Linked DNA regions of Arabidopsis thaliana. The protein of the gene in region 3 interacts with the protein of the main gene of each other region in a pairwise test. Each region holds a gene or a part of one and is shown on either strand. Other genes may lie near its edges.

Evidence for each region.
Region 1: the proteins of AT2G40316 (region 3) and FEI1 interact in a protein complementation assay, tested with the Arabidopsis thaliana proteins (one large-scale study listed by BioGRID).
Region 2: the proteins of AT2G40316 (region 3) and AT2G29250 interact in a protein complementation assay, tested with the Arabidopsis thaliana proteins (one large-scale study listed by BioGRID).

Annotation. Positions count from the first base shown.
Region 1 is NC_003070.9:11,247,137-11,256,264, forward strand, and holds FEI1 (Leucine-rich repeat protein kinase family protein), read left to right. Parts: upstream 1-2,481; 5' UTR 2,482-3,223; coding exon 3,224-3,323; intron 3,324-3,413; coding exon 3,414-3,549; intron 3,550-3,624; coding exon 3,625-3,696; intron 3,697-3,773; coding exon 3,774-3,845; intron 3,846-3,944; coding exon 3,945-4,016; intron 4,017-4,310; coding exon 4,311-4,382; intron 4,383-4,465; coding exon 4,466-4,537; intron 4,538-4,764; coding exon 4,765-4,853; intron 4,854-4,946; coding exon 4,947-5,105; intron 5,106-5,211; coding exon 5,212-5,544; intron 5,545-5,619; coding exon 5,620-5,868; intron 5,869-5,944; coding exon 5,945-6,078; intron 6,079-6,161; coding exon 6,162-6,380; 3' UTR 6,381-6,779; downstream 6,780-9,128. Other genes in the region: AT1G31410 (putrescine-binding periplasmic protein-like protein), read right to left, coding at 1-401, 518-679, 815-997, 1,086-1,220, 1,384-1,632, 1,728-1,867, 1,948-2,209; AT1G31430 (Pentatricopeptide repeat (PPR-like) superfamily protein), read right to left, coding at 6,889-8,601; AT1G31440 (SH3 domain-containing protein), read right to left, coding at 9,014-9,128.
Region 2 is NC_003071.7:12,577,429-12,584,161, reverse strand, and holds AT2G29250 (Concanavalin A-like lectin protein kinase family protein), read left to right. Parts: upstream 1-3,381; coding exon 3,382-5,253; downstream 5,254-6,733. Other genes in the region: AT2G29260 (NAD(P)-binding Rossmann-fold superfamily protein), read right to left, coding at 208-396, 541-647, 770-986, 1,102-1,309, 1,392-1,639.
Region 3 is NC_003071.7:16,833,289-16,841,689, forward strand, and holds AT2G40316 (autophagy-like protein), read left to right. Parts: upstream 1-2,815; 5' UTR 2,816-3,066; coding exon 3,067-3,236; intron 3,237-3,446; coding exon 3,447-3,489; coding exon of another isoform or gene 3,490-3,506; intron 3,507-3,829; coding exon 3,830-3,883; intron 3,884-3,995; coding exon 3,996-4,059; intron 4,060-4,197; coding exon 4,198-4,254; intron 4,255-4,405; coding exon 4,406-4,512; intron 4,513-4,614; coding exon 4,615-4,653; intron 4,654-4,836; coding exon 4,837-4,925; intron 4,926-5,015; coding exon 5,016-5,094; intron 5,095-5,182; coding exon 5,183-5,230; intron 5,231-5,319; coding exon 5,320-5,400; 3' UTR 5,401-6,158; downstream 6,159-8,401. Other genes in the region: AT2G40310 (Pectin lyase-like superfamily protein), read left to right, coding at 777-920, 1,104-1,415, 1,565-2,089, 2,190-2,423; TBL33 (TRICHOME BIREFRINGENCE-LIKE 33), read left to right, coding at 7,042-7,225, 7,324-7,546, 7,639-7,810, 7,880-8,079, 8,172-8,330.

The DNA.
Region 1 (9,128 bases), on a different chromosome or scaffold from region 3:
CCTCGAACCTTAATTGAAACAATGTCCTTTAGTTTCTCCACAAGGCCAGGTCTTTGGCTTTGCTTCCTTACAGTTTCAATCAGAAGCCGATATTCCGATAGCGTAGCCTCTGGTAAAGGTTCCAAGAACTCACACTTAGACAAGATCTCCGGAGGAGGAACACCTGTGACCAGGTTTGTGTCCAGTTTTGTTCTGTCTTTCTTTGTTTTTTCGGGTTCTGTAACCAGAGGACCATCAAGAGCTGAAGGAGATGCACCAGGAATTACTTCCCGTGTGAATGGTAACGATCTTGCAGGTTGCAAGCAGAATTCTATCCACTGGTTGATTAATGGAGATGGGCCTCGGACTCGTCCTCCTCTTTGTTCTGCTTCTTTACCAGAGTCAGAAACAGCCGGGATCGCCTTGAAAAACAATTATGCTTCACGGTTTAGTGTCCAGATATGTTATATCGTCTTTAGAACAAGAAGCATTCAAGATATCAGATGAAGGGTTAAGTGATTTTACGACGGTAACTTACCCATAGATCAGCCCATAAGGTGGCACCGGATTTGGGAACAATCACTGTAACATTAGACATACGTTTTGCGACAGGGATAACATCGCTGCTCCAACCAACAGTGACCCAGACATCTCCGACATTGAAAGCTTTTAAATAGTTGTTACTATCAAATAGTCTAATCTATAAGCAAAAGGGGAAACAAGATCAGCCACCATTGTCATTTTTTCTCAATAACTATAGAGGTTGAGTGAAACACGTCAGCCTAAACTCATCTGTTCTCTTTAGGGTATGGAGAGATAGTAAAGAGGTAATAACCTGTTTCATGAGTGATGCCAGATTTTTCTCCACTGCTAATCTTCCGCCAGGAACTTGTGAATCCAGGTCTGTCGTATTGTATGATGCTCTCATGTATTTGAGAACAGCACCAACAACCTCTCTAGGAGAATTCACCATTGCGATCCTTCCTGCAAGCTCGGGTCGCCACAGATCAGCCCAGTCCTAAATTCAGCAAAATGTTCAGTGATATTCACTTCTTTTAAATAGGAAAACACTAAGACAGCATTTAGCAACAACAAAGTATACCAACCTCTATCGGTGCCAATTTATAATTCTGAAATTTGCTCTTTTTGTATGCTATAACCATGGTGCCCCAGCGGTATGGCACAGCCCACGTTTCACCGTCAGGAGCTTTTTCTCCCGCATAGTTCCTGCGGAGATAAATCTGAGACTTTCTAAGTCATGAAATGAACCCTATGAACATTCCCAAGCTAGCAGAGTACGAAAACAAAACACATGAAAGATTATGCCTATTAAAATCTCTCAAGCTAGTGTTCTTTCAAAAAGACTCATATTCATATTGTTAAACCACTGATTTAAATTCTCACCTTCCATTTATCACTCAAGCCTTTATACCAGTCTTGATCTTCTATCCCTTTCATTGGCTCAATTAGCTTTTCCTTAATAGCAAAACTAAGCCAAGAATCACCAATGCTGATCATATCAGCTGCTGCAGTTGAAGCAGCCCCCTTTTTTCCATTCTTACTTGGTTTCGATAGATCGAAAAAGATCTCTTCAAGATTTCCTCGAAACTGAGTCTTTAACCTCACTCTCTTCCCTTGTGAGCTCATAAACTCCTAAATTCCATTCACAGAATCCAACAACATACATTTTCAACTATAAGCTTAAGATTCAAAATAGAAATGGAAACACAGACAAGTGAAACTAAAACCTTGATCCATGATGGTGGCACTGAGCCACGCAAGGCAACGAGTTTTAGCGGGACAGTAAGAGAATACACTTTAGACTTGTACGCTTCGAAATCAGCTTCCAGTTTTTCTTCATCTTCAACTTCATTTAGATTCTCTTCACCTGCAAAAACATTCCATTGGAACACAAAATTCAAATCCATCGAAATCCCAAGAGTGACGAAAATGTTCAATTTCACGCACCAGCTACAGTTTCTGTGTTGATTTCATTCTCTGTAACGACAATCGGCGGTGGTAGTATTCGAGCGGAGGCCGGAGAACAGACGCGGAGGCTACTTAAACCGATGAACAACACGGTCGAGGCAGAGAGACCAACGATCCTCTCATGAAACCGTTCGTCTCGAGAAACTCGTGCAATGGTGATTCCCCTTCCTCCGTCGCGTCGGTTTCCTCCGCAGTAGAAGCTCGCCGGCGGTTTCACGGAAATAATCGCCGCCGTAGCCATCGATATAACGCGATGGTGAAACAACGGACAACAATGGCTTCTAATCTCAAACCGGTTCAATCAAACCGCTGGGCTTATACCGTAATGGGCCTTAAAAATGGGCCCAATGATTTCGACCATTGTAGAGATTAGGCTTAGCTAAGGTCTAGCTGGCAATAATAATTGGGTTTTATGAAGAAAGCGTCGGTTGACACGTGTGGGAGGTCAAGATCGGCACGTGCGAGACCCACTTCGTTTCTTCTCATTGGTCGTATGCTTTGGAGAAGAAAGCATCTTCTTCTTCTTCACACACTCTCTCTCTCTCACTCTAGTTTTCTCTCTCTTCACTCTTACCATAAATCACACAAACAAAATAAAAAGTCGATTCCTTTTTTGTTTTTTTTATCTTCTCCTTAAGTTATATTTTTTTTTTTTTGCTTTACAGCTCAAATTAGTCATCTTCTTCTTCCTCTGTCTCAATTCTTCCTCCTCTCGGATCCATTTTTAGAGGTTCTTATAATTCTTACTAATTCTGTTTGCTTTTAAAGCTATAACCTTTGATATTGTTGGAAAGAGTGGGGTTTTGGGTCTTTTGCTGAATCGTTTTTTGGATTTGTTATATTGTTCGAATCTTCAGTTGTTATTGTGTTATAGGATTGGATGGTATCTGGGAATTTCGTAATCTATGTTAAGCTAGAGCTGTTTTTGAGCTCTTTTGTTGATGATGATTTTGAGATTGTTGGCCGAATTTAGCTCTCGTTTTCTGATTTTAGCAATTGGAAAGTGTGTATTGGTTCTTGTGAGGCAATTTCACTGTTTTGAGTACTCAAAATGTAGATGAGAGCATGCATAAGTTGTGTGGAGACTGAGCTTAATGTGTAGTGTAATTGACAATTAGTTTTGTGGGCTTTCCTTTGTTTTTCAGGAGTCTAGTTTCTTACTTGAACATAGACATGGAATCAACTAATAACTGACAACCAAGAGGCTGTTCTTTTCAAATGATTGGTAGTAGTTATATTATGCTTGGACAGTGCCATGATGGGCATCTGTGAGATGAAAAGCTGCTGCTCATGGCTTCTTTTGATCTCGTTGCTTTGCTCACTATCTAATGAAAGTCAAGCGATTAGTCCTGACGGTACGTCGATATGAATCAACTATTACTATTCATAGCGTCCTGGACCTTTTATTGAGCTTTAATCCTTTATTGCTTGTTTCCATTCTTCAGGCGAGGCGCTTCTGAGCTTCAGAAATGCAGTTACTAGATCAGATAGTTTCATCCATCAGTGGAGACCGGAAGATCCAGATCCATGTAACTGGAACGGAGTGACATGTGATGCAAAAACGAAAAGAGTTATAACCTTGTAAGTTTTCAAACTTGTCAAGGTTTACTGGTTTTCTCTTCAGTATTTGTGCTCCCTAATACTCTTGTTTCGCAGGAATCTTACTTATCACAAAATAATGGGACCTTTACCTCCTGATATTGGAAAGTTGGACCATTTAAGGCTTTTGTATGTGCTCTCTAGCCTTATTCATTTTTATTGCTTAAGAGAGTACTTCGATTCTGATCATCTGTGTGTCATTGCAGAATGCTTCACAACAATGCTTTATATGGAGCAATACCTACAGCATTGGGAAATTGCACAGCATTGGAGGAAATGTAAGCGCTTTTCCAGGATTTTATACTGATTCCACATGGTTTCTGAGAGACCAATTCCAGTTGCTTATGGTCATCAAAATTGTCCAACTGGTTTTGCAGTCACTTGCAGAGTAACTACTTCACTGGACCAATCCCAGCTGAAATGGGAGACCTGCCTGGCCTTCAAAAGCTGTATGTTTTTTTCTCTTCCCTATACGTACTTGCAAGTGCATCCTTCTTTTAGTGTATGCAATATCTATTTGTTTTTTGTTTTCATTTACTTCTATCACCATCTAGGATCATGGTAACATATGGTTGACTGCATAATGTCTTCTCATGCACATTATATTCAGAACTAGTTATACCTAAACTCTTGGTGAGCAATTTGAAAAGCATGATAATGTATTGTTTACTTCAGATTCACATATTGATTGTTCTCTTTTCTCTACTAAAACTGACTTTTGACTTTTTTATTTTATTTTCAAGGGACATGTCAAGCAACACTCTCAGTGGACCTATCCCTGCTTCGCTTGGGCAGTTAAAAAAGCTTAGTAACTTGTGAGCACCTTAATCTCTAACTTCCGCTGTAATTTATCATATTGCAGTCCTGTGAATCTTTCTGTTTCGTTTGTCTTATGAAGCAATGTCTCGAACAACTTCCTGGTGGGGCAAATACCTTCAGACGGAGTGCTCTCTGGATTTTCTAAGAACTCGTAAGACAATAAACACCCTTTTCTTCTTGTAGGGATAGAAAAATAAAGCCTCTAAAGTTACATTTTTTTTTTTTTTTTGTCAATCCTCTAAAGTTACATTTATACAGCTGATCTTTCATATTTCGCTTATATTCGAGATGATTTTTTGAACCACATAACTATTTAGCTAGATTGTATCAGTGCGACTGAAATTATATGATTCTCAAACTGATGCGTTACTACTACAGCTTCATTGGAAATCTTAACTTGTGTGGAAAGCATGTTGATGTCGTGTGCCAAGATGATAGTGGAAACCCTTCATCACATTCTCAATCAGGTAAAAGCAATTATGAATTTCTTGTGATATACAGGTTTTGTTGTGGCTCTCTATCAGTAAAGTTATATTTATTTGGTGTCTTATACTTTATAGGTCAAAATCAAAAGAAAAACTCTGGTAAGCTGCTGATTAGCGCATCAGCAACTGTAGGTGCGCTACTCCTAGTTGCACTCATGTGTTTCTGGGGATGCTTTCTATATAAAAAGCTCGGTAAAGTCGAGATTAAAAGCCTTGCAAAGGATGTTGGTGGAGGTGAGCCGTATTGATTTTTTTTGTACAGATATTATCTCGTTAAATATTGGGAAATTTCATATTTTTCTCTATCTCCTAAATCTTCATTGTGACTTTTTCAATTCAGGTGCGTCTATTGTGATGTTCCACGGAGATTTACCTTACTCTTCCAAAGATATCATTAAGAAGCTGGAAATGTTGAATGAAGAGCACATAATTGGATGTGGAGGCTTTGGAACGGTGTATAAGCTGGCCATGGATGATGGCAAAGTCTTTGCATTGAAGAGAATTCTAAAGTTAAACGAAGGGTTTGATCGGTTTTTTGAGCGGGAGCTTGAGATTCTTGGGAGCATCAAACACCGATACCTCGTGAATCTACGTGGATATTGCAATTCACCAACATCAAAGCTACTGTTATATGATTACTTGCCCGGTGGTAGCCTTGATGAAGCACTTCATGGTATGATCAATCTGCTCTTTATGGCTCTCTTCCATATTATGAATGATTCACTGAGAAGTTTGGTTCTTGAATTAGTAGAGAGAGGCGAGCAATTGGACTGGGATTCACGCGTAAATATCATCATAGGAGCTGCGAAAGGGTTATCATATTTGCATCATGATTGTTCTCCTCGGATTATACATCGTGATATAAAGTCGAGCAACATTTTGCTTGATGGCAATCTCGAGGCACGGGTATCGGATTTTGGTCTAGCCAAGTTGTTGGAAGACGAAGAATCTCATATCACAACCATTGTTGCAGGCACATTTGGGTACCTAGCTCCAGGTACATATGCCTTTTAAAAGTCTTTACTTACATAAAGATTTGATCTTTCAAATGCTGAGACTTTTCCATTTGACAGAATATATGCAAAGTGGTAGAGCAACTGAGAAAACCGATGTATACAGTTTTGGGGTTTTGGTTCTTGAAGTCTTGAGTGGGAAAAGACCAACCGATGCTTCCTTCATCGAGAAAGGCCTTAACGTTGTTGGTTGGGTATGCAAATAAGATTCTTTTTCAATACTGATATTTTGTTACGACAAACTTGACTAAAAAAGCTTTTGACTCATGATTTACAGCTAAAGTTCTTAATCAGCGAAAAACGGCCAAGGGATATTGTTGATCCAAACTGTGAAGGAATGCAGATGGAGAGCCTTGACGCTCTACTATCAATAGCAACACAGTGTGTGTCTCCGAGTCCAGAAGAGCGTCCAACGATGCATCGGGTTGTCCAGTTACTTGAATCAGAGGTCATGACTCCTTGTCCCAGCGAATTTTATGATTCCAGCTCTGATTAATTGCATAAACCCACCAGTCGAAACCTCGAGAAAAAAAGTAAACCGAGTCCGGTTTCCCGGGGAAAGCCTTCAAATGCTATTCGATTTCCGTTTTTGCTCCCCGAGAAAACCTGCAAATACCAACGAAGAGCCATAATTTTCCAGTTAATGGAACAGAGTCTTTGTGTTGTGTTGCCATTTACTTTGCCCCTCCAGTTTTACCAGATTCGAGCCATTCATTTTCAGCCCTTTCTCTTTTTGTTCTGATTTTTGGTATAAAAACTTTTATTTGAACATGAAATTGAATTGTATAGTTGTGACCTTTGTAGAAAAACTACTCTCTGCCTTTATGTTCTTTTGAAATAATCCATGTTCCTTCATCTTCTTCTTCTTCAGTCTCAATCAATCCTGATTCAGTTACAGAGAAGCTGATATCGATTCAAAACCAACATCGATTCAAAACCGGTTCATTAGCAGGGAAACAAATGTTAATGATAAGGGAAGTAGTTAGAGAATGTACAAGAAAGTTTCAGCTATCAATTTCTTTATGTTCCAAATCCAACATCAAATTTGTCGTTTGATGCAGCATTGAGTTGATCTCATCCATTTTTGGGTGTGATAATAGATCATCTCCAACAATAAACTCATGACCAACCCCATCAATCTCGATGGAGCTGCAACCAGGAAACTTTCTGATTCCCAAATCTTTCATTTTCCTTCTCACATTAGTTACATCTTCCCATCTATTAGCAGATGCATATACACTTGCAAGCAGAGTATGAGCACTGGAATCACTTACTTCCACTTTCTCAAGCTTTTCCGCTACCCGTTCTGCTATTTTTACATTCCCATAGTTCCTAGCAGCACTAAGTAAAGAACAGTATACAGGAACTAGAGTTTCATCGCTTTCACCACGCATCTTATCTATCAATTCCTCTGCTTCATCTAACAAACCAGCTCTGCATAGTAGGTCAATCAGACAGCTGCAGTGCTCTGATTTAGGCTGGACGTTATGTCTTTCGGTCATCGAATGGAAAATCTTACGGCCTTCTGCTACAAATCCACCATGATTGCAAGCTGTTAAAACCGCGACAAATGTTATAGCGTCTAGTCTAACACCAACATTTTCCATTTCGTAATACAAGTCCAGCGCTCTTCCTGACATCCCGTTCATCGCAAGACCGTAGATAAGTGATGTCCACGAAGCTGTGTCTCTCTCCTTTATTTCATAGAAAACCTCTAGAGCTGTCTCAATGCATCCACATTTTGCATACATGTCTACAAGAGCAGTACCAACTACTTTATCTACTGTAACCCTGTTCTCATTTATGTACCCATGAATCCATTTTCCTTGCTCTAAAGCTCCCGTTTGCGCGCAACCTGTCAAGAGAGAGACTAGCACGAAATTATCCGGCCTAATTCCCGCAGTTTGCATGCACCTGAACAGTTCCAATGCCTCATCAAACCGGTTAAACTGAACATACCCATTCATCATAGCTGTCCACAAAACAACATCCTTTACAGGACTTCTCTCAAACAAAACTCTAGCCTCATCAATCCTACCAGTACTAACATACCCAAAAACCATACTAGTCCAACACTTAACATTCTTGTCTCTCATCGAATCGAAAACCGCTCTAGCCTTATCGAGACACCCACATTTACAGAACATATCCACCAACGCATTCCCAATCCTAACACTCATTTCAAATTCTGTAACAACAAACCTATAAATCCTTTCACCAATTTCAAGATTCTTCAAAGCCGAACAAGCCGAAAGAGTGCTCACAATTGTACCTTCATCAAACTTCAAATTGCTCTCCTGACTCATCCGCTTAAACACACCAATGGCATCCTCAAACCTCCCATTACCAACATAACTAGAAATCAACCCATTCCAAGAAACAACATCTCGTTGAGGCATTTCATCGAACACTTTATGTGTGATCTCTATCTTACCCAATGAAGCATACATTCCCATGAGTGAATTAGATACATAAGAATCGAACTCAAGCCCAGCTTTCACAGCATAACCATGAACCTTCTCACCTTCTATAACCTTCCTCAAACGACCAATTGACTTTAGAACAACCGGTAACGTGAAATTATCAGGATACAATCCTTGTCCTCGCAATTCACCGAACAAAGCCAAAACTTTCGTGAAACTTTTACCATCAGCAAGAGATTTGAGCATCTTATTGTACATAAGAAGTGATGGAGTTTGTAACAAACTCATGTTCATGTCTCTTTAGGGGATGATATGAGATAATGAGAATGTAAAGTTGTGAACTTTGTAGAGAAAGAGAGTCTTATTATTCAAAGTTCCATCCTTTATTTTTTAAAAATCAAATTTTACTGAAAAAGAAAAGATCATTATCATTATCAGAGTAAATTACAGAAGAAACAGAGGATTGTATCTAACAAAAGATAAAACAGGATTCTCACAACTGCGTAAAGAAATGATTCAAGAGTCTAGAGTTAGACTCATGTTGATACATAAGAAAAAAGGAAGAAAACACACAAATCATTACTCTTACAAGATCATATTTACTCGTCGAAAACATATCTTTACTTACGATGATAGGTAAGAAGGAAGAGAAACACAATCATATCTTACACATACTTTTTGGTATGTATATGTTAAAGAAAGGGCATCACTGTTGCTTGGAGTTTGATTCCACGATCTTGCTTGCCGGAGCTTTCTCTTGTTTCTCTACGTACGCAGACGGAAACCATCCAGCTTTGCCTTTGTATTCTCCTTCTGACCAG
Region 2 (6,733 bases), 4.3 Mb from region 3:
CATGCACAATCAAGATAATCAGTAAAAGACAAGGGAAACTGAATCACGCTGTCTGATGCTAAATTATCCTTTTCATTAACAGTAGACTTAGTAGCACAACTTCAATTCTCATCTCATATCGATGAACTGTCTTTCACGGGAGAAAGGAGACATGCTAAAGATAAAACAAAAAGGATCCCAAGGAAACTAGTAAAACAATAGAGTGGCCTAATCATGTCGTGGGAAGAAACCGTTTATTGACATTCCACCATCAACACAAAGAATCTGCCCTGTAATATATGATGATGCAGGTAGGCATAAAAAAGCCACTGCAGAAGACACCTCTCTCGGTTCGCCAAGTCGACCAAGAGGAGTTACTGAGTAGACTTCTTCTAGGTACTCTTTGTTGCTAAGGACCTGAGACCAAAAGACGAGAACCATTAAACAACCCCATCTTAAACAAGGAACACACAAATTAGCTTAGTCTTTCTCATTTTGATTTTCAGCCTCAAGAGCTTATATTTAACCGCATAATAGATAATAAGGCTTTTAAACCCATACTTGCTCCACCATAGATGTTTTGATATACCACGGGGCAACAGCATTGATCCTTATATTGTCTTTGGCCCACTCGCAAGCCAGACTTCTCGTAAGTTGATTAATTGCTCCTAAAACACAAAGGCCAACGAAAAGAACCAAAGTTTATCCATCGCCTGCTCGTTAAAGAATCTAATACATCTTGGTAAAACCTGAATAAATGAATGAATGCTGCATAAGAACAAATACCTACCTTTGGTTGAAGATTGGACCGACATATTCTTGAGGGAAACAAAACCAGAAACAGAAGAGATGAACACAACACTTCCAGCTTTAGATTCTCTAAGCAATGGATAAGCAAGTTGACATAAATGGAAAACCGATTCGAAATTCGTAGACATCAGAGTCGAAAATTCTCCAGCAGTAAACTCTACCATTGGTTTCCTAATGTTCGTCCCAACATTGTTTACCTAAAAGCATCATAATTACACAAGAAAGTAAAGTTATTTATTTACAATTGTTCTCACAGACAAATTAACAAACACTTTATGTGCATTATCTCTAAGCAATGGCATTAAACCTTACAAGGATATGAAGCTTCCCTTCAAACACAGATGACACGGTCTCCATCAAAGCCTCTCTCTGAGATCGATCAGAGACATCGCAAACGGATCCAGCAACTCGAAAACCAGAACGGTTCCAATCACTCAAACAATTCTCCAGCTCGTACTCATTCCGAGCGCAAGTGTGAACTTCTGCTCCAAGACCAGCCAATTCCTCCACAATCGCACGCCTGAGAATTTAAACAGTAACACACACTACTCTGAGAATTTGCGTTTGATAAAGGTTCACACTTGTTGTGAAGAGAGACAAACCCAATTCCACGAGTGCCGCCGGTGACAAGAGCAGACATTCCATTGAGAGACCATCTTTCCTTGGAGGTAATGGCAATGGAACTCTGTGATGCGTAAGGGACGAAGACGGAAGAGGAAGAGGATTTGTGTTTAGGGTTTATGCGTTTGAAAGAGAGGCATAAATGAGGTTTAAGGGAAGAAGAAGAAGAAATAAAGTGAAGGTTTTGAGGTGGATTTGTGTACAAGTGAGAAGCCATGTCAAGCACCATTTATGCAGAGCAGAGTTTATGTTTCAGCTTTTCAAATGAGTCAGAGTCACCTTTATGCGAAGCATGGTTCTGATTGGTTTAGTGACGATGACGACGTCATCATTGCGGCAAATTTTAAATTACTGTATATATATCTTATAAACTTTATAAAATATCCATAAATTATTAGACACATTTATAAACTGTAACAAAAAAAAAATCATAATCAATTTCTTTATTTAAAAAATAAAATAAAGCATTTCAATATTTTAGTAGGGAAGATATTAGTTAATATCATTAGAAAAAATAGAAAAAAAAAGGAGAAAATGCAACAAGAAGAAGAGAAAAAAAAAAAACTCTAATTCATTAATTTTTGCGGATTAACTGGATCGTTGCAGTTTTTTGCTTTATTTCGATAAATGAACAACAAAAACAAAAGTCCATAAAAAACTTAGTAGATGCATAAACTAACCATAGAGAAGTCGATAAATGTGATGCTCTATTAATACATGCGAGTACGGAGTATCTATTGAAGAGGTACAATACTACAATTAAATCACAAAGTTTACCTTAGACCAAAAAGAAAAAAACATATAGATTAGTAATATATAGATTGTTAATATAATATTGTATGTTGGTGACAAAATAAATTGCCTAAGTTTTGGTTAGAAAATAGAAATACTTTAACCAATATAAGCAGATTACCTAAGATCATTTTTGTAAAATGGAAACTAATTATTTTATGTTTTGAGAATTCTTCGTTCGTAAACAATCTTTGTACTCTTCTCAGAAAGTTGATATATTTTTAAAAATTCTTTGACTCTAATCTAATGATGTTAATTTGTACATTGTATTGTTGTGATTTCTTCGTTTATAGAATATATGGAACTCTATCTGACTACATCTACATATACAATTTTGCATGAAAACTTCTCTAGATTTTGTAATTATTTATTTTTGTACAAGTTTTCAGTGAGAACAAGACTAAGATTTGAATGGTCAAGTATTCTTCTTCTTCGTTTACAAATTGAATTTCTTAGTTTGACAACGTATGTCTTTATAATAATAATAAAAAAAAGTTAGGATATTTTTTTATTATAAATATTCATATTTAAAGTTAACACTTTAATTTCAAGGAATGTTCAATTGTTCATCCATTTTTTATTTTTATATTGGATATATAGTGGCTAAAAGCCTAACATAGCAACGCCTTTTATGCGACATATAGTTGATAATTATTGCAAGTTTCCTCCACAATTTCTTCCTAATACAAATAATTGCACAATTACAAGACTCAAGAGAAACCTTTCTATTTGTTTGTATCACATAGTCATAGTGGATAAACGTCGATCGTTAGGCAGTCAAAATTATATGTGTAACAAAAAAAAAGGTGATTCACCCTAAAGGCTAGCTAAAAGATGACGTTTTTTTTGTTCAATAATTTTTGATCCATTATGACTTTGTAATCACATTTAAATTATACAGAAAATATGTAACCATTTTCTTGTTTATTTTGCAATCAATTTTATTAGGAAGAAATTGTGGAGGAAAGTTCGAAAGAATTTTTCAAGGATACTAATATAAAGGTTTGCAAAAAAAAAAAGGGTTTGTTTAGCAGTTTATATAGAAAGTCAAATCTTCAACTAAGTTTGTTTAACTTGTCAGCATAAACAAAAAATTTGAATATGAATGTGTCTTGAGCTCTTTGAAGCTATAAAAAGATAGCATTGAACATAGCTAACATCAAAATCTGAAAACTATCAATGGCTAATACCTATAAATCGATAGCTGTATCAATAATCTTCCTACTATACTTTTCTTGTGTCTCAAGTCAACAACAAACCAAATTTCTTAACCATGGCTTTCTGGAAGCTAATCTCCTCAAGTCTGGCTCGTCCAAGATCCACCCGAGTGGCCACTTGGAGTTGACAAACACTTCGATGAGGCAAATAGGTCAAGCTTTTCATGGCTTTCCCATACCATTCTTAAACCCCAACTCCTCAAATTTGGTATCTTTCCCCACAAGCTTCGTCTTTGCCATCACTCCAGGACCTGGCGCACCAGGCCACGGCTTAGCTTTTGTCATTTCACCCTCGCTGGACTTTAGCGGGGCCTTACCAAGCAATTATCTAGGCCTATTCAATACCTCCAACAATGGAAACTCCTTGAATTGCATTCTTGCAGTTGAATTCGACACTGTGCAGGCCGTTGAGTTGAACGATATTGATGATAACCATGTTGGTATAGACCTCAACGGAGTGATCTCCATTGAGTCTACCTCCGCTGAATATTTTGATGACCGAGAGGCAAAGAACATAAGTTTGAGGCTGGCGAGTGGGAAACCAATAAGAGTCTGGATCGAATACAACGCAACTGAGACGATGCTCAATGTCACATTGGCTCCTCTAGATCGTCCGAAGCCAAAGTTGCCTCTTCTCTCTAGAAAACTAAATCTTTCTGGGATCATCTCTGAAGAAAATTATGTTGGATTCTCTGCAGCCACGGGAACTGTCACGAGCTCACATTTTGTGCTAGGCTGGAGCTTCAGCATCGAGGGGAAAGCATCAGACTTTGATATCACGAAGCTTCCCTCTCTTCCAGACCCGCTACCTCCATTGTCTCCATCCCCGAGTCCTCCGGTTTCAGTCATGAAAAATTCGAGTAACACGATGCTGATCATAATCATTGCTGCATCAGCAATATTTGGAATCTTGATCTTAAGCTTCTTAGCGGTTTGCTTTTTTCGTAGAACGGAAAACTTCACCGGAGGCGCACGGAAATTCTCCCACCAGACGATTTCCAGCGCGACGGGAGGTTTTGACAACTCTAAGCTTTTGGGAGAGGGAAACTCTGGGAGTTTTTATAAAGGGCAACTTGCTCCTACAGAGATAATTGCCGTAAAGAGAATTACTTGCAACACAAGGCAAGAAAAGACAGCCCTAATAGCCGAGATCGATGCAATCTCCAAGGTAAAACAAAGAAATCTTGTTGATCTACATGGTTACTGCAGCAAAGGAAACGAGATCTATCTTGTTTACGAGTATGTTATCAATAGAAGCCTAGACCGGTTCTTGTTCAGCAACGACCTACCAGTTCTCAAATGGGTACACCGGTTTTGTATTATAAAGGGTATTGCGTCAGCACTTCAACATCTTCACGCTGAGGTTCAAAAACCTCTCATACACGGAAATGTCAAAGCAAGTAACGTTCTTTTGGACGGAGAGCTAAACGCTCGACTAGGAGACTATGGACATGGAAGCAGACACAGCACTACGGGACACGTTGCACCAGAACTAGTCAACACGGGAAAGGCTACATGTGCCACAGATGTGTTTGAATTTGGAGTGTTAATCATGGAGATTGTTTGTGGAAGGAGAGCCATAGAGCCGACAAAGGAACCGGTAGAGATCAGTTTAGTGAACTGGGTGCTTCGAGGGGTCAAGAGCGGAAATCTCTTAAGGAGATGCGACAAAAGAATCAAGAAAAAGAATTTAGTCTCTGAAGAAGTGTTATTGGTTCTGAAAACAGGACTTCTCTGCGTGAGACGATCTCCAGAAGATAGGCCAATGATGAAGAAAGTGTTGGAGTATCTCAACGGTACAGAACATCTCCCTCATGATGACTACGTCGTCTAAAAGAGGAAATGGCTAACGATGATCTCGAAACGCCGTTGTACAAATCAAGATTGGACCCAAGATGCATAAGCATGATATGAATAATACATAGAATAACTTTTAAAAATGGAAATAAGAATTTCTCGTTTTGAGAAATTAATTTCATTAAATATTATCTTCGATTAAACAATCTTCGTACTCTTCCGAGAAAATGAATATTTTAAAATATTTGTGTTTGATTTTAAATTCTAAATGATGTTTGTTCGTCGTTTTAGGATAACTAGTATGTATTGTTAAAGAAAAGATAAGCAAATAAATAGTATTGTTGGCAGACTTTTCTAGCCCTTTCATTGTAATTTCAATTATCTTTGTTCACCAGTAGATTTTTATAGTAGCAACAAAATCTAGATTTCTATGGAATTTGGGTTCAGTATAGATTTTTTTTTTTTTTTGTTAAAGGGATTAGTTTAGATTTTGGATTGGATTCACCTGGTTAATTTAAAAGAAGGGTATATGCACTAGATGACCATGAAATCAATAATAATATAGAAACTAACTATGAGTCTATAGTGTCTGTCGGAGACGTATCTGAAATTACCCGCAACCCCCTATAACTGTGTTCTTGGTTAGGGGACATATAGGTGTATAGGCGTATGATTGCAGAAATTTGAATTTTGAAAACCTTGGTAAGAGCAATGCTGTATGTGGACGCAAACGATATAGATTTTAATTTCGAGAAATCGATTTATTATCGAATTTTTTGAAATATCAGGAGCTCCAAAAAAAAACCTAGCGCCGCTTCATTTGCTGGTTTTCCGAGAGGAAACGTCTTCCGTTCTCTACCCATAGATTCTGCAAACTCTCCGAATATCTATTTCAAATCTATATTGTTTCTCATACATATCGTTTCTTTAGATTCAATCTCGCAGTTAGGCAATCAATTCCATCGGGCTACAGGTAATTTCACAAATATATGCGGTTTAAGCTATTCAACGTTCTCGATCGCCATCAACTTCTTTATTTCTCCAATCTATATTCCGATTAACTGAAATCTTAGGTACATACTGTTTCTGATTTATAAACTTCTATTTTGTGCAGAAAAGGGTTCGACTTGTAGATGATGAACAACTCTTTACCCCGTCGATTGTTTAGGTCTGGATCCGAGCCCAACGGTGAGAGAGTGCAGTCCTACAGTGAACTGTCTTTGATAGATGACATCGCTAACGCGTTAGATGCGGAGGACATGAAAATTCTCCGGGAATCTCAGTTTGGGAAATTATTTGATTTCTCCGAAAGCGCCGCGTATTCTGGGAAGCTTATTCACTTTTTGCTAACGAGGCAGCTTGTTGTTAGGAAGAAACAAGAAATTTGGGTAATTTTCTCTGGATCCCCTGTTCGGTTTTCCATTTCTGAGTTTCAAAATGTTACCGGTTTGAACTGCGACAAACCGCCTCGTATGAAAGAGAGGAAAGGGAAACGAAAATTGGCGCCTGGCAAGTAT
Region 3 (8,401 bases):
CGTGAGGCGAGGGAGATATATGTAAAAGTGAGATTGTGATGTGTTGATGATGAGGCTGCGGATGAGAGACACGTGTACGTACGAGATCGTGGGATGGGTCATGGCGCGTGGCAAGCTTGTGGTTCAACTGCGTTGCTGGAATTTTTTTTCTTTTTCTTTTTGTCGTTGCTGGAATTTTGTTTATCCGTGACTTATTTGTTTTGAAGCTGTATAATTTTGTTTTATGTGATGAAAATTGAAATTGCAGCTTCAAAATCTCTTTCACTAATTACTTAATTAAGTAAATAATCATTTATTTAATAGAAAATCTCTTGTAATTTGTGATTAGTGAATAAAAAAGTTAACAGAACAACTAAAATACTAAAATTAAATATCCCTTAAAATTGGAACAAATAAGAAAGAGTGCATAAGGAAAACAATTTGGTTTTATGCAATTTAAATTAAAACAAACAAAAACAACAAGTAATTGGTAAATATGATTGGCACATTCCTCAAATTGAAGATTCTGTTTTAGAGGAGAGAACAAAAAAAAAACATATACACTCAAAAATCTTCATAACAAGATATTATTAACCAATCAAAATCATTACCACTAAAAAAAAAACACAATTTTAGTTGTTAATTAGTAACCATAATCCAGTTCTTCTACCTGTTCATTGAGAGATGCTAACTCTATATAAGCTGATAATGTAGGCTAACACTTCTCATCATCTCTTAGAACAAGTATTGATAAACAACAATTTTTTTTTTCCATACACCTTAAACTCAATAATAAGATGGCAAGCATTGCTTTTGTGTTTAAGGTTTTATGTGTATCTTTCTTGTTCATATTTGTTGCAAGTCGTCCTACTATCCGACCAAAAACGTTTAACGTCCAACGTCATGGTTCTAAGCCGGACGGAAAAACTGATAATGCCAATGTATGTAAACGAGAATTTTTCTAATTTTTTTTTTACCATTAATTAGTTATGAGATGAAAATCTATGCACATTAGCACAACTATAAACATATATGACAAATATACAAACCAAAAAGATAAATATATATTTTTAATTTATTGTATTTTAACATATATATATCATTCTTAACACATACAAAATCAGGTATTCACAAGTATATGGAGTCGTGCATGCAAAAGAAAAAGTGGAAGTAGTAAAATCTATGTACCAAAAGGAATATTTTACCTCGGTGGTGTAGAGTTTGTGGGTCCATGCAAAAATCCTATTGAATTCGTCATTGATGGAACTTTATTGGCTCCTGCAAATCCTAGTGATATTAAGCAAGATACATGGATCAACTTTAGGTACATCAACAATCTTTCTATCTCCGGTTCCGGTACACTTGACGGCCAAGGAAAACAATCTTGGCCACTCAATGACTGCCACAAAAATCTCAATTGTCCTAAACTAGCTATGGTAACATATCTTAAACTTTTTCACTTATTTACATTTAAAGCGTATTACAAAACGTACATGTGATATTTATACACAACTTTATTAGAATTTTTGGTCTTTTTCATTTGAGAAATTAACAAGTCTTATAATAAACTTGAATTTTTTTATAGACTATGGGATTTGCATTCGTGAACAACTCAAATATCAAAGACATAACATCACTCAACAGCAAAATGGGACATTTCAACTTCTTCTCCGTCCATCACTTTAATATTACCGGCGTCACTATAACAGCTTCCGGTGATAGTCCTAACACCGACGGTATCAAGATGGGTTCATGTAGCAACATGCACATCTCCAACACAAACATCGGTACCGGAGACGATTGTATTGCCATTCTCTCTGGAACCACTAACCTCGATATCTCTAATGTTAAATGTGGTCCCGGACATGGGATCAGTGTTGGAAGTTTAGGGAAGAACAAAGACGAGAAAGACGTGAAAAACTTAACAGTAAGAGACGTCATTTTCAACGGTACAAGTGATGGTATTCGGATCAAGACTTGGGAATCTTCAGCTTCAAAAATCCTCGTTTCGAACTTTGTGTACGAGAATATTCAGATGATTGACGTTGGAAAACCAATCAACATCGATCAGAAGTATTGTCCTCATCCTCCTTGTGAACATGAGCAAAAGGTTAACATTCTATTCAAAAAACAAGCTTCATCATTCTCTTATTTCATCAAAAGAATAAGAACAAAAATATAAAAGACAACTTGTGTTTATTTTTCTTCAGGGAGAGTCTCACGTTCAAATCCAAGATCTTAAGTTAAAAAACATATATGGAACGTCAAAGAACAAAGTGGCAATGAATCTTCAATGTAGCAAAAGCTTTCCGTGCAAGAATATTGAGCTAATTGACATTAACATAAAAAGTAATGGACTTGAAAATAGTTCTTCCATTGCAGTTTGCGAAAATGTTGATGGTTCTATGAGCGGTAAAATGGTTCCTCAACATTGTCTGAATTGATTTGACGAGCCATCAAAATAATAACGATGTGTTGTGTATATGATACTTTCATTTATGAATAAACCAAATTATTTGATGTATAGGATAATGTTTTTTTTTATAACCGAAATTCCAAATTAAAACATAAATATGTATATAAGCTTTCAGATAAAATAAAAAATTAACATCCATAATCTACAAGAAATTGTATTTTCTGAAAATCGAATAGAAACACATGATTAAACAATTGGACGAAAGAATTTCTACATAAATCTCTGAATAAATTCAATAAATCCGGTTCATCTGAAGAAACTAAATTGAACCATACTCTGGTTCGGTTTTTAAATGGGCCGTTTGAGATTTGAGAAGGCCCATAGTTGATAACATTCAGGCTTCAAATTGCAAATGATATACAAAAATAATTTATGCGGCTTATTCGTAAGAATTACTAAGATTAAGGGTACAATTGAAATTTCGATTGAACCAACGGCGGATGTGAAATCAACAACAGCGACGACTGCAGCCGTGCCGAGCACTCATCTCTTCTTCTCTCTCAGTCTCGCTCGCCATCTCCGTGGAGATCCTCGGACATGGTCATGAGATCGTAAGAGAGAATCTTCAAAAAATTGAAATTGGAAATCGATAAGCTAGGAGCTAAGGAGAAATGTCGGGGAAACTTTGGATCCCGAGATTTATTCTCATCACTCTACTGTTTATTAGCTCACGAGTTAACTCTCAATGTGAATTCAGTTTCACTGGACGCAACAAGGTCTTTCATTTCAACCTAGCATCTTCGATTCGGAATTATCCTCACGGTGTGCTCAGCGAAGATGGGTACTTTCGCTTTTCCTTTTGTCCCAGATTCCATTTCTTATATGCTTGAAGTTCGCTTTCAATTTCAAATTCTGTACATCTTATGAAATTATTATGTAGAATGTTGCATTTGGTATTGTGATTTGTACTGGATGGTGTTAAGTTAAAATGTTCGTCTATGTTACTTCATTTGTGTTGTGCTTATACTAAATGCAATAATTGGATAAGCAGGTTTTATAAAGTGGAAGCGAACAGTTCCGTGTTATGGTTTCAGGTTGTCTTCTACATCAGGTTACACTTTGTTTCTGTATTTTTCTCTGTTACACTGATCATAACATCTATGATCCTGTATCTTGGATTTCTCGCGTGCCTGTGTAATTCATCTTGTTGTATGTAATTTCTGATAACTGGTAACAAGGAAAAAGGAATAGATAGGTTAATGGAACAGTAGAGGAAGAACGATACGTTGCTTAGATTAGGAAAGCATTTAGAGTTAAGGTGGTTCTGATTTGAAGATGTATAACTGCTTGGTAGTCATACTGCCGTTTATGTTTTACACTACGCCATTGTGATTTATGTTTGTTATTTTTTTTGTAAACCGTCTTGTGGAACAGCTTTGTGACGTGCTGATTTTCAATCATGATCCCCCTCGATGTGTTGGTTGCGAAGTAAGATATTTGGCTACTTTTCTTGTCTTGATCTATCCTTCTACAGAAAAAGTTTCTATTTTAACTTTGAGAATCTCAATCAGTCTCTGTGACTTTGCTTTTCTTCACTTAGGATTGTGGAGGTCCATCTCACTGCGGAACGTCATGTAGTGCACTTGTGTCAGAAAATGTAAGAGGTATTAAAATCACACTCTGACAGCATGTTATCTTAATGTATATTATGTAGCTCAGTAGAGAATGATAAGGTTGCAGATTGCACAATGCTTTTGTGCTAATGAAGAGTTAAACCATCTTAAAAATCTAATCATTTGCAGGGTATGATGTATGCACTTCTCTAGGGCATGCCTCAAGCACAAAAGTTGATATTATTGGTAAGGTTTAAGATATGTGAAAATTGAGACTATTTTCACCCTGTGTTCTAAGTTGTGAAAAAGCTAAATTGTTAATGCTGTTTTCTCCCAACTTCGTTTGCAATAATAATGTAATAAATGTGCCTCAGGATTTTTGTTTTGAATATGGTAGATAAAGAGGATCCTGGCAAAGGCGTCATTGTTCAGATGTCAACTGGAAATAGGAACCAAAATTGCTCGCTTTCAGTTTCTGTTATTTGCCAGAAAACTAAAGTTGATGTAAGGATTTGTATATCAGACATCCTACTTAAGCGTATGAATTGAAGTTGATTTTAGGAGTTTTTAAGACGTAAAACCTCGTTCACCATTTTCTTTTCTCAGGGACCACTCACTTTGGCGAAATCTGGTACCTGTCAGTATGTGAGTGTTCAGTAACTCATCTATTTGCTCTTTTCCTGTAGCTTTCAAATTACCAAGTGTGATTGTTTCTTTTGTGAATTTTATGGGTTTTAAGTTTGAAAACTGAGTTTTTATTTGCATCTCAATATCTTGATTCTTAAGAAGTATGGACTCTGGGTAGTTATGGTCTTGTTTCACTGACAGGCTACTCAGCTGCGACATCCTGCCGGTTGTGCAGCAGCTATATCCGGCCATAGTAGTGGATGGGGCTGGTTTAGTACCTTACTAATCATGTGAGCAAACCAATCTTTTTAATGTGAGGCCTATTGGAATATGTTTAGATATCGTGGGAATCAAAAATGAAATGTTCTTATCTTTCTCAGTATCTTGTGCCTGTTTGGAGCTTATCTGGTGGGTGGTGCAGTATATCGGTATTTCTCCCTTGGAATTCGTGGCATAGATGTATGTTTCACTACCTTCCTTTATATATGCAAGTTTTTCTCATGTACTGATTCTATCACAATTGAAATGTAAACACCCTGTTTTATAGGTAATCCCGAATATGGATTACTGGGCCACTGTACCTCACAGTATACAGGTATTGTTCTGTGTTTCTATATTCTCTTCTGGTAGATTGGTGTCTAAGAATTAAATTTAATGAGCTTACGTTTCCTCTTCATCTTGCAGAGCTGTTTTGGCTCACTATTTTCAAGATTCGGGGGGTCTATTCGTGGTCAGCAAACCTCATATTCTCAGGTCAACTTCTGAGCAGTCTCAGCATCTTCTCTGATCCATGGTCTGGAGACACATCCCCAAACTTTCCTTGACTGGTTCAACCAATTGCAAACGCCGCTAGATTGTTATACCCTGAGTACTCTTTTGGCCATTATATGACTGCAAGTTATAAGGTGCCTCTCCTTTTCAGCTTGTTATGTCATGGATCCCTGTAGAAACAAAAGAATCTTGTTCATTGGATAGAAACAATGTCAAGCCATTGCAATCTGCAGCCTTTCCCATTTCGTGTGTTTGCTCTTTGGAGATTGTTTCAGTTTCTTGATGCTGATTTTGAGTAATGGTAACCGATGTGTTGATGTTTTAGCACATTTTGCATCCGCTTGGCGTTGGATAAGTGGATATCTCTTTTCTTTCAGTGAGTTTTCTGATAGGCGAGTGATCAATGTTTAGGATAGAGATGTTGCAATTGACCAAAAATCCACGAACCAGATTGTTCTTTTAGTGATCTCGGTTAAATTTGAGCCGATTTAGAAACTGGTCTAGCTGAGCCAAACCGGTCAAACTGGCCGGTCCAGTCGTCATAATATACAGTAGTTGCCAATGAAGCTTCTTGAAAGCATCTCTTTGTACAATTTTGAGTATTGTAGCATCTAAAGAAACATTGGCTTAGTGTTTTGTTTTGTTGGACGAAGAGTGTGTACAAAGAGGAAAAGTGAGAGCCAACAACTTGAGCTTGAAAGCCCAACAATTTCTCAACTAATTCCACTATTCATTTCATCTTGAACTCTCTCCTGATAGTTACTATATAAAAAAAAAAAATTATAGACCGATAATTAAGATTTTGTTTGATCTCACATTGTTCAGTATTAATTTTAATAAATGTCAGTTTTGTTCTATATTGTTTTCTAAGTAACATCAAAAATCCATTGGACAAAGGTAAAGACAACGATGTCTCATCTTTACAAATTGATCAACTGTACGAAAACACCTCAAGGACACTTAGCTTAGAAGCCAAGTGAATTTATATTCCTCACCTCCATCAATCATCATCTCAAAGTTTCCAATAGCCTAAGAAACTAATAATTTTTGTTCCTTTTTGACAGATATTAGAAGAGTATTCATAGTAAAAAGGACAAAGGAAGCCAATGATTTAATCATAACCATCTAGGTTGGATTTAATCAAATACAAAACGGACTAGATGTAGTCCACAGTGAACTCAGTGATTGTTTTTGTCTTAAAATCAAGGTAAATCACATGATTACTTAAAAACAAACAGAGATATACATTTTTGCTGAAAACACGAATGTGTATATAAATGGATTAAATCTTACGAAAAAGCATTAGTTAGTAGACAACCACTCTGTTGCGTCAACATTTACCTACTCATCACTCTTAAGTATACTTCCTTTGCTAATTCACAAAAATTTCATCACCTAATATAATCATAACCATATTATAAATAGTTTAATCATTGTACAATTCACATCTTTAGTATTTCTTGAAGCAATTCCAAAATAAAGTTCTTTTGGCTTCCTCCTCCCACATTCTTATTTGGTTGAGGAGAATGAGATCATCAAGAACACAAAGTGTTCATTTCTTAATTTTATCTCCTCTTTTCCTAATAATATAAAATTTGAAATCACATTTGTAACACTAATTCTCAAATCCTAAACATGAAACCTTCATCACCAATTTCACTCACTAGTTCTTCAATTGCTAGAAAAGCTCGTTTTTCTCCTTACCTCTTCACACTCTTAGCCTTCATTCTTTTCGTCTCTGTCCTCTATGGTGAAGATTTTATGTGCATCTTTGGACAGCTCGAGCCTAACTTCGTCCTCCCGCCTTCTCGAACACCCGGTAATATTTTGTTTATTCACTAAACTTGTGGTTTGAATACGCGTTGACAATGAGGAATTGAGTTTGTGTTTTGGTTTTCAATTTCTTGGATTCTTAAGAAAAGAATAAGAAATCGGAGAAGCTTGCGTTTGCTATTGGTAAAACAGAGGAAAGCTGTGACGTTTTCAGCGGGAAATGGGTGAGAGATGAAGTCTCCCGACCACTGTATGAGGAATGGGAGTGTCCGTACATTCAACCTCAGCTTACATGTCAAGAACACGGCCGTCCCGACAAAGACTACCAGTTTTGGCGGTGGCAGCCTAATCACTGCGATCTTCCCTCGTAAGCTCACTCTAAACGCTCTGTTTTCTCTGTTTCATGGGTTACTCTGTTTTCTCTGTTTCATGTGTTGCTCTGTTTTCTCTGTTTCATAGGTTCAACGCGTCACTGATGCTGGAGACATTAAGAGGGAAGAGGATGATGTATGTAGGAGACTCGTTAAACCGTGGAATGTTTGTATCAATGATTTGTCTTCTTCATCGTCTTATTCCTGAAGATCAGAAATCAATTAAAACCAATGGTTCCCTCACTGTCTTCACTGCCAAGGTAAACCTATCTACTTAAACTTATTCAAAATTCTCACCTTTTATTAGAGCTTATTATATCTTTGTGCAGGAGTATAACGCGACGATAGAGTTCTATTGGGCACCGTTTCTTCTAGAATCGAATTCAGACGATGCAATTGTCCATAGAATATCGGATAGGGTTGTGAGAAAAGGATCAATTAACAAACATGGTCGTCACTGGAAAGGAGTCGATATAATCATCTTCAACACTTATCTGTGGTGGATGACTGGATTGAAGATGAACATCTTGTAATCATTTTGAAACTTAAAATCGTAACAATTCATATAACTATACTTATCAATCATATTAGAGAGGTTTCTGATATTGGGGGTATATATAGGCAAGGATCGTTTGATGATAAAGAGAAGAATATCGTAGAGGTTTCGACTGAAGATGCGTACCGGATGGGTATGAAGAGTATGTTGAGATGGGTGAAGAACAACATGGATCGTAAGAAAACTAGGGTCTTCTTCACTAGCATGTCTCCAACGCATGCCAAGTTAGTGACTTTGACCCTTTTTATCGAGCAATTTAGCCCATAGTTAGATACATATTGACACCATAAACAGA